2 linked regions of the Mus musculus genome follow. The protein of the gene in region 1 interacts with the protein of each later gene in a pairwise test. Links are inferred from orthologs where the notes say so. Each region holds a gene or a part of one and is shown in the gene's direction. Other genes may lie near its edges.

What was found. The genes of interacting proteins can lie anywhere in the genome.
Region 2: the proteins of Kifc3 (region 1) and Nefl interact in binary tests that used the Homo sapiens proteins (3 or more experiments, as listed by UniProt). The two-hybrid records come from large-scale screens. The link is inferred for Mus musculus from reciprocal best matches to the Homo sapiens genes KIFC3 and NEFL.

The regions. Positions count from the first base shown.
Region 1 is NC_000074.6:95,140,035-95,143,779, reverse strand, and holds the start of Kifc3 (kinesin-like protein KIFC3), read left to right. Parts: upstream 1-1,222; 5' UTR 1,223-1,348; intron 1,349-2,460; exon of another isoform or gene 2,461-3,194; intron 3,195-3,745. UniProt on the Homo sapiens protein: Minus-end microtubule-dependent motor protein. Involved in apically targeted transport. Required for zonula adherens maintenance.
Region 2 is NC_000080.6:68,083,126-68,086,807, forward strand, and holds the start of Nefl (neurofilament light polypeptide), read left to right. Parts: upstream 1-737; 5' UTR 738-837; coding exon 838-1,884; intron 1,885-2,848; coding exon 2,849-2,973; intron 2,974-3,361; coding exon 3,362-3,681; intron 3,682-3,682. UniProt on the Homo sapiens protein: Neurofilaments usually contain three intermediate filament proteins: NEFL, NEFM, and NEFH which are involved in the maintenance of neuronal caliber.

The DNA.
Region 1 (3,745 bases):
AAGGAAACTGAAGTTTATGTCAGTGTCCCAATCCTTAAGGAAGACAAGGTTTCTCCTTTTATATGCAAACTTAAATGCAGGACACACCCCTTCCCCTCGAATAGAGCCTTCAATAGATGAGACAGTGCTTGCTTCCAGCTGGGGGCCTACTGGCCAGGCCTGGCCTGGCACCAGGCACCCTGTGGGGCCTAAGTCCTTGTCTCTGTTTTTGCTCCAGATTCTTGACACGTGGCTCAGCAGCGGAAGCGGGAAGCAGGCCCAGAGGAGGCAGCAAGGCCCTCCCTAGGTCTCTCCTAGGCCATTTCTGGCAAGCCTGAAGGGGTAGACCCTCACCCTCCTCAGGTTATCTGGGGACCATCAGCCTCTGCGGGACAGGCTCCTGTGGCACATTCTCCTTCCGCACTCCGGAGTGGGCATACTGGGGCTGGAATAAATGCCTCTCTGTTTGGGAGACAAAGAACAGAGTGGCTCCTTTGGGTCAGCAGTCTCTCTTGGCTGCCTGAGCCTTCTCTCCCCCAGGCCTCTTCAGTGGCTCCTAGACGCCCCAGGAAGGAGCTTTTAAAGACAGACGGTGGAGCTGTTTTGCCGGAGCTTAAGGGAATGCGTTACCTTAACAAACCCCAAGCCTGCTGCTCAAGAAAATATTTATTGGTTGGGGGTGCAGGGGTGCAGCTGGCAAGGCAGGATGCCAGGCTGGGCACAGAGAGAGGGTGCACGCCTGTGTAACAGAGCAGGTGAACGTGTGGTATGCGTGTGCTCGATCTCGCGTGCAAGAGCTTGTGTGAGGAAATGTATTAAGATGTGAGTCTGTGTGTGTGTGTGTGCCAGTTGTGTGTGGATCCTAGCTGGCGTGCGTGAAACTTCTGCACCTGGGTTTGGGGTGGAGTACAAACCGTTTTGAGGGTGAGTGTTAACGTTAACTCCTGGGTAGGAGTAATGGGTGAGGGCGAGTGTGCAGGTACGCGGTGTGCAGTGGAGGGTGTGAGCCAGCTCGGAAGGGGCAGGCAAGGTGCGCCTGGGCTCGTGCACCAGTGGGTGTGCGCACAAGGGTGTACCAGCCTGTGTCGGGTGGATGGGTAGGATAAGAGGGGAGGCATGCGCCTGGGGTGGGCGCGTGCGCGAGAGTGCGCGTGCCCCCCTCCCGAGCCCGTTACCATGGGAACGCGCCGCGGCCTGAGTTAATCATTTCCTGTGGAAAGTGCGGGAGGGGCGGGCACGGGGCGGGCCAAGGAGGCAGCGGCGGCGGCGTGGAGCTGCCTCGCGCGGGCGGGCGGGCCGGAGCCGGCCGGAGCGGGCCGAGCCCGGGGCGCTGCGGTGGCGGCGCTGGGATCCTGTCTCCGCTAGGCCGGTGAGTCGGGTCCCGGCAGGCTGGGGGTGGAATGGGACGGGCTCCTCCCGGCGCTCCTGCTGGGCGCCGCGCCCGCCCTGCCTGAGGACCCCCTCTTTCCCCGACCCGGTGGGTGTTGCGATCAGGCCCCAAGAGACCCGGCTGAGCGCGGGGCTCCCACTGTATTGGTCCAACCGGAGGATCTTGCAGAGACCTGGGCGTGAGGGTGGCACAGCCTCTGGGGTAGCGCCACCAAGACCGACTCCTTGGAGGGGGAATGTGCAGTGCCTACCTGGGAGCTGCGGGTCAACCAGTGAACCCCCTCCCCCTGCAAGGGTCGCTTCCAGGAAGGCTACTGTTTGGGCCCTCCCTCTGTGTCCCCCGAGTAGTTCTCCCCCATCCCCCGGGCAAGGCCCGAGGTGGGGTGCGGCAGCCCCTAGGTTAGGAGGGAGGGCCTCAGAAATACCCTCTCAAGCTGAGAGGGATCAAGTCATTGACAGCTGCGGCTGAGGAATCCCTGCAGGGAGGGGAGCCCAGAAGCTGTCTGTCCCCTCAGCCTTTCCACTGCAAGTAACAGGAGAACTCTGGCTGACACAGTGAAAGGCCGGGTCCTGAGACATTTTAAAGAGGAAGCTGGATTTAAATTCTTAAGTAGTATTTGTCACCCTTCCAAAACATACACACACACTTTAATGCATTTCTCAAGCTTGGGCCTTGGGACTACCCCTAGCTTCACCTTCCTTAGTGTCCTTCTGCCCCAGACTGGGTAAATGCCCTTCCTAGTCTGGTAGGACTTATTCCCCATGCCCTTCATAAAGGGGCAGTCTCCTTGGCTAGAGAGAGTCATTTGCTAGGAATGCAGTCCCAGAATGGTTTTGTGTATTGGAGTGGTTGGACTTCAGGGTTTGGGGATGGTAAGTTCTGCTGTCTGTATGGGTACCAGAGAGCAGAAAATTTGAAATCTGGATGCACCAGAACATGTGTGTGCCAGGGATACCCTAACCCAGTCTAGCCATGCCCCCTCCCCCAAATGCTCACCCAGGAGAACTAAGCTATCCCCTGCAGTGGTGTATAGGTGACTATGAGGTCTACACACACACACACACACACACACACACACACACACACAGAGAGAGAGAGAGAGAGAGAGAGAGAGAGAGAGAGTGAGTCTTTGCCCTGTCTCTGGTTTAAGACAGGAGGAAGGCAGATCTACCATCCTTAGCTAAACCCAGAGAAGCACATGCCCCTCCCCCAAACAGCTTCCGCATTCACCCACCAATGGGACAGTTTACCAAGAGATAGCAGCATCTTGGGCCCTTTGCCTGTGTCCATACTTCATATGTGTATTTTCTGATGTCAGCCCTGAGAAGTACAGTTTTCACCACTTGATACATGAAGATGATAAGGCAAAGAGCAGGTAATTAATTCTTCTAGGTGGCGGAGCCAAGGTCTGACCTAGCCCATAGCTCTACTGCATGATTTCCAGGTCACTAGAGGTCCCAGGACCCCAGACCTAACACCTGTGTAAGGAGATGATGCACTTGTCTCTTGGCCTAGAACCCTGGGCTTGTTTGAGATTCCTTGATACTCCTGACCTCACACCCGGGTTTCCAGCTGCTAAATTCAGCTGCCTTTTCCTCTTGGGGACCTAGCACACACCCTTCCTCTTTCTCCAGGCTGCCGCTCCAACTTCCCTTCCTGATAGCACAGAAATATGCTCCCCCACCTCCTTGACTGAGCTGATCTCTCCTAGAATCCTCTGCCCGTCATGGTCTCAGCTTGGTACGAGCACCCACAGAGGATGGTCCTCCCAGCTTCACCCCCTGGCCTGCAGGGTCGGCTTCATGCACTGCATCAGGCCACCTGGGTAGGGCATTTGTATCTGCTCTCTGCTCCTCTGGCTTCTCCCACTTTACACCCATCTCAAGGCATCCATGGGATGGGGGATGGGGTTGATCAGCATCTTTCTGACCCCTTCCCCCCACATTCCTGTCCTCTCCCAGTGAGTACCCCACACTTGACTTGTCTTCAGTCAGGGGAGGAAGAGACATGACCCACTGTCTTCAGTACTTGCCCCTAAAAGCATCAGATCAAAAGTCTTCAGTCTCTGACTCCAGATTCTTGCTATTTGTTTCCTGTCTCTAGATGCATTGTTCCTGTACCTCTGTCTACCCCTACATGTCACCTCTCCCCTGTTCTATATAGCATATTCTCTCAGCTCCATCTCCTCATCATCCTGGCTGAACTTCCCTCTAAGAAGGAAACAGCTGCCTCCTAGGCCCTTTCCAGTCCCTTGAGTCGCTTTGAAACGGCTTTGCAACCTAGGCTGGTCTGGAACTTGCAACCTTTCTTTTTGTTTTTTCGAGGCAGGGTTTTTCTGTATAGCCATGGCTGTCCTGGAACTCACTCTGTAGATCA
Region 2 (3,682 bases), on another chromosome or scaffold:
GGTGTCAGACAAATTAACTGCTGTAAAGGTTTTAAAATGCCAAAATGAACACCCGCTGTCCTGCGGTTCCAATGGTGTGTAGTGGTGCAATTTCCCTATGTATTGAGAAGAAGAGTAATACGGAAAGAAATAGAAATAAAAATAAAAGGAGGCAGGAGAAAGTGGGGCGAATTTAAGAAAACGTCAGAAAATAGCTACAAAGACATGCAAAACTTTTCCTGCAGTAATGCCGCAAGAACATTAGCTATTGTCAGCAACCCAAACGTGCTGCTTAAACACGAATCAGGGTGCTTGAGAGGGTCCCTGAGGCAAAAAGGGAAAGCTGGGAGTGGGGTGGGGTGGGGTGGGGTGGGGTGAAGGTGTCTTTGTGACATTGGATGTTAAAAGTTGATGTGTCAGTAGGGATCGCGAACCTTTTTATTTGGAACATTTAAGAGTCCTAGTGATGTGGGCTTTAGGTATTAAGAGGCAGGATGGGACGGGGGAATAGGAAAGGAAAAGAATAAGCAGGGAAGTTATGGGGGTCTCAGAGAAAGTAGGGGTCCTCATAGAAAAGCGGCCAGGCTGGAGCCGCAGCTCGCTAGCCTTCTGTCGTTCGCCCCCGCCTTTGCTTTTGCGCAGAATCCTCCCCTTGGCTGCAGCAACGCGCTGCCCCCACTGGCCTGCGCACGGCGATCGATCACAGTCTGCGTCAGAGTCCCGGCGTATAAATAGAGGTGGCAGGACCGCGCCGAGCCGCACACAGCCATCCATCCTCCCCTTTCCCTCTTCTCCCCCGTTCTTCTCTCTAGGTCCCCCATCTCCGCCCCGGGCCTGAGGGGCGCACCGGCCGCCACCATGAGTTCGTTCGGCTACGATCCGTACTTTTCGACCTCCTACAAGCGGCGCTATGTGGAGACGCCCCGGGTGCACATCTCCAGCGTGCGCAGCGGCTACAGCACGGCGCGCTCCGCGTACTCCAGCTACTCCGCGCCGGTCTCCTCCTCGCTGTCCGTGCGCCGCAGCTACTCGTCCAGCTCTGGCTCTTTGATGCCCAGCCTGGAGAATCTCGATCTGAGCCAGGTAGCCGCCATCAGCAACGACCTCAAGTCTATCCGCACACAAGAGAAGGCACAGCTGCAGGACCTCAACGATCGCTTCGCCAGCTTCATCGAGCGCGTGCACGAGCTGGAGCAGCAGAACAAGGTCCTGGAAGCCGAGCTGTTGGTGCTGCGCCAGAAACACTCTGAGCCTTCCCGCTTCCGCGCCCTGTACGAGCAGGAGATCCGCGATCTGCGGCTGGCAGCGGAAGACGCCACTAACGAGAAGCAGGCGCTGCAGGGCGAGCGCGAGGGGCTGGAGGAGACTCTGCGCAACCTGCAGGCTCGCTATGAGGAAGAAGTGCTGAGCCGCGAGGACGCCGAGGGCCGGCTGATGGAAGCGCGCAAAGGTGCGGATGAGGCCGCGCTCGCCCGCGCCGAGCTGGAGAAGCGCATCGACAGCCTGATGGACGAGATAGCTTTCCTGAAGAAGGTGCACGAGGAAGAGATCGCCGAGCTGCAGGCTCAGATCCAGTATGCTCAGATCTCCGTGGAGATGGACGTGTCCTCCAAGCCCGACCTCTCCGCCGCTCTCAAGGACATCCGCGCTCAGTACGAGAAGCTGGCCGCCAAGAACATGCAGAACGCCGAAGAGTGGTTCAAGAGCCGCTTCACCGTGCTAACCGAGAGCGCCGCCAAGAACACCGACGCTGTGCGCGCTGCCAAGGACGAGGTGTCGGAAAGCCGCCGCCTGCTCAAGGCTAAGACCCTGGAGATCGAAGCCTGCCGGGGTATGAACGAAGCTCTGGAGAAGCAGCTGCAGGAGCTAGAGGACAAGCAGAATGCAGACATTAGCGCCATGCAGGTATAGTACGGTTTAAGCTCAGTGGGGGTGGGGAGGTCCACGGTAGGGGCGGCGGCGGGGGGGGGGGGAGTCAGGGTGTACCCAGAGAGTGAACGCTAGGGGGTTCTAGAGCACAGAGCAGCTATCAGAGGGCTTGGCTTCCGAGAGGTTGTGGAAAGGATGGGGCATTTGGAGGGGGCGGGGCGCGACTGCTGCCTGGGGATTGCTTGTTCTGGTTGAATCAGGGTTGTTAGGGGTGAGTTGGGAGGAAGGGGCGGAGGGAGTCGGAGTTGGGCGTTGCCAAGTAATGCCTTCTCTTTACTGACAACCCTTAACTCCCAAGTTACCCTCAGTACTTCCTGGATCTCCTGGTTAATAAATATGCCTGCTAGCTCTCACTAGTTTTGGGCCACCCAGCCTTGGGATAGTTTTTTTTTTTAATAGGGACACAAGAATACAGTCACAATATTTTAGCAATTAATCACTGCAGTCCATTAAAAAAAAAGTTCTTCATCTTTGGCGGGGGGAAGCATTTTAGACAAACAGCTACACAAATATATATAATTTAATTTTTATTTATATATTTATTTAGACAAACACACACACACTATATATATATTCCCCTTCCCAAATGCGACCTGGCTAAAAGAAATGTGACAAGGGTGGTTAATAATAATAATAATATCATCATCAATTTGGTAGTTTTAAAAGACAGCTTACCATAATCAATTGAGAACAATTTTCAAAATTGTTCACATCAGTCTACTCCCCTCCTCTTCCTCCTCTCCTTCTCTTGCTTCACTAGACTGGGCATTTTAGGCCAACCCCTCCCCCTATGCCCCACCCCACCCCATTATTTTAAGGGAGATTTCTGGAAGGTGTACACTTTGGAGTTAACTAAGACCAGAACTTATCATGGATACTACAGTAAAACAAATGCAGTAGAGATTTGTGTTTTGAATTTTTTAAAACAATCTTCCTACAGGACACAATCAACAAACTGGAGAATGAGCTGAGAAGCACGAAGAGCGAGATGGCCAGGTACCTGAAGGAGTACCAGGACCTCCTCAATGTCAAGATGGCCTTGGACATCGAGATTGCAGCTTACAGGTAACATCAGGGTGGTGCTGGCAGTGGGCATGGCGGCTCAGGACAGAGCAGATGACCCAGTCAGTGCAGTTATAGTGAGTCCCACGTGCTCTAGAATAGTCCTACTTTGGTCTTCCTCCAAGAGGGTACAAATGTGTAGGGAATTAACCCTGAAGTAACATAAGCCCTGTTCTTAGCATTCATATTTTAAACCTAATAGGGATGCATAGAAGGTCTTTTTGGGTGGGGTCTCTCGTGAACTCCTTATTAAATTTTGATTATGCCTAACCGTATTTGTTCTTGTATTTGCCTTTGAGGTTGGTTGTAGAGGAAAGTAATGAATGTGGGCTTAGAGCAATGAACACATCCAGCCTTGCTCTAACTGTACTCTTCATTCCCTCTCCACCAGAAAACTCTTGGAAGGCGAAGAGACCAGGCTCAGTTTCACCAGCGTGGGTAGCATAACCAGCGGCTACTCTCAGAGCTCGCAGGTCTTCGGCCGTTCTGCTTACAGTGGCTTGCAGAGCAGCTCCTACTTGATGTCTGCTCGCTCTTTCCCAGCCTACTATACCAGCCACGTCCAGGAAGAGCAGACAGAGGTCGAGGAGACCATTGAGGCTACGAAAGCTGAGGAGGCCAAGGATGAGCCCCCCTCTGAAGGAGAAGCAGAAGAGGAGGAGAAGGAGAAAGAGGAGGGAGAGGAAGAGGAAGGCGCTGAGGAGGAAGAAGG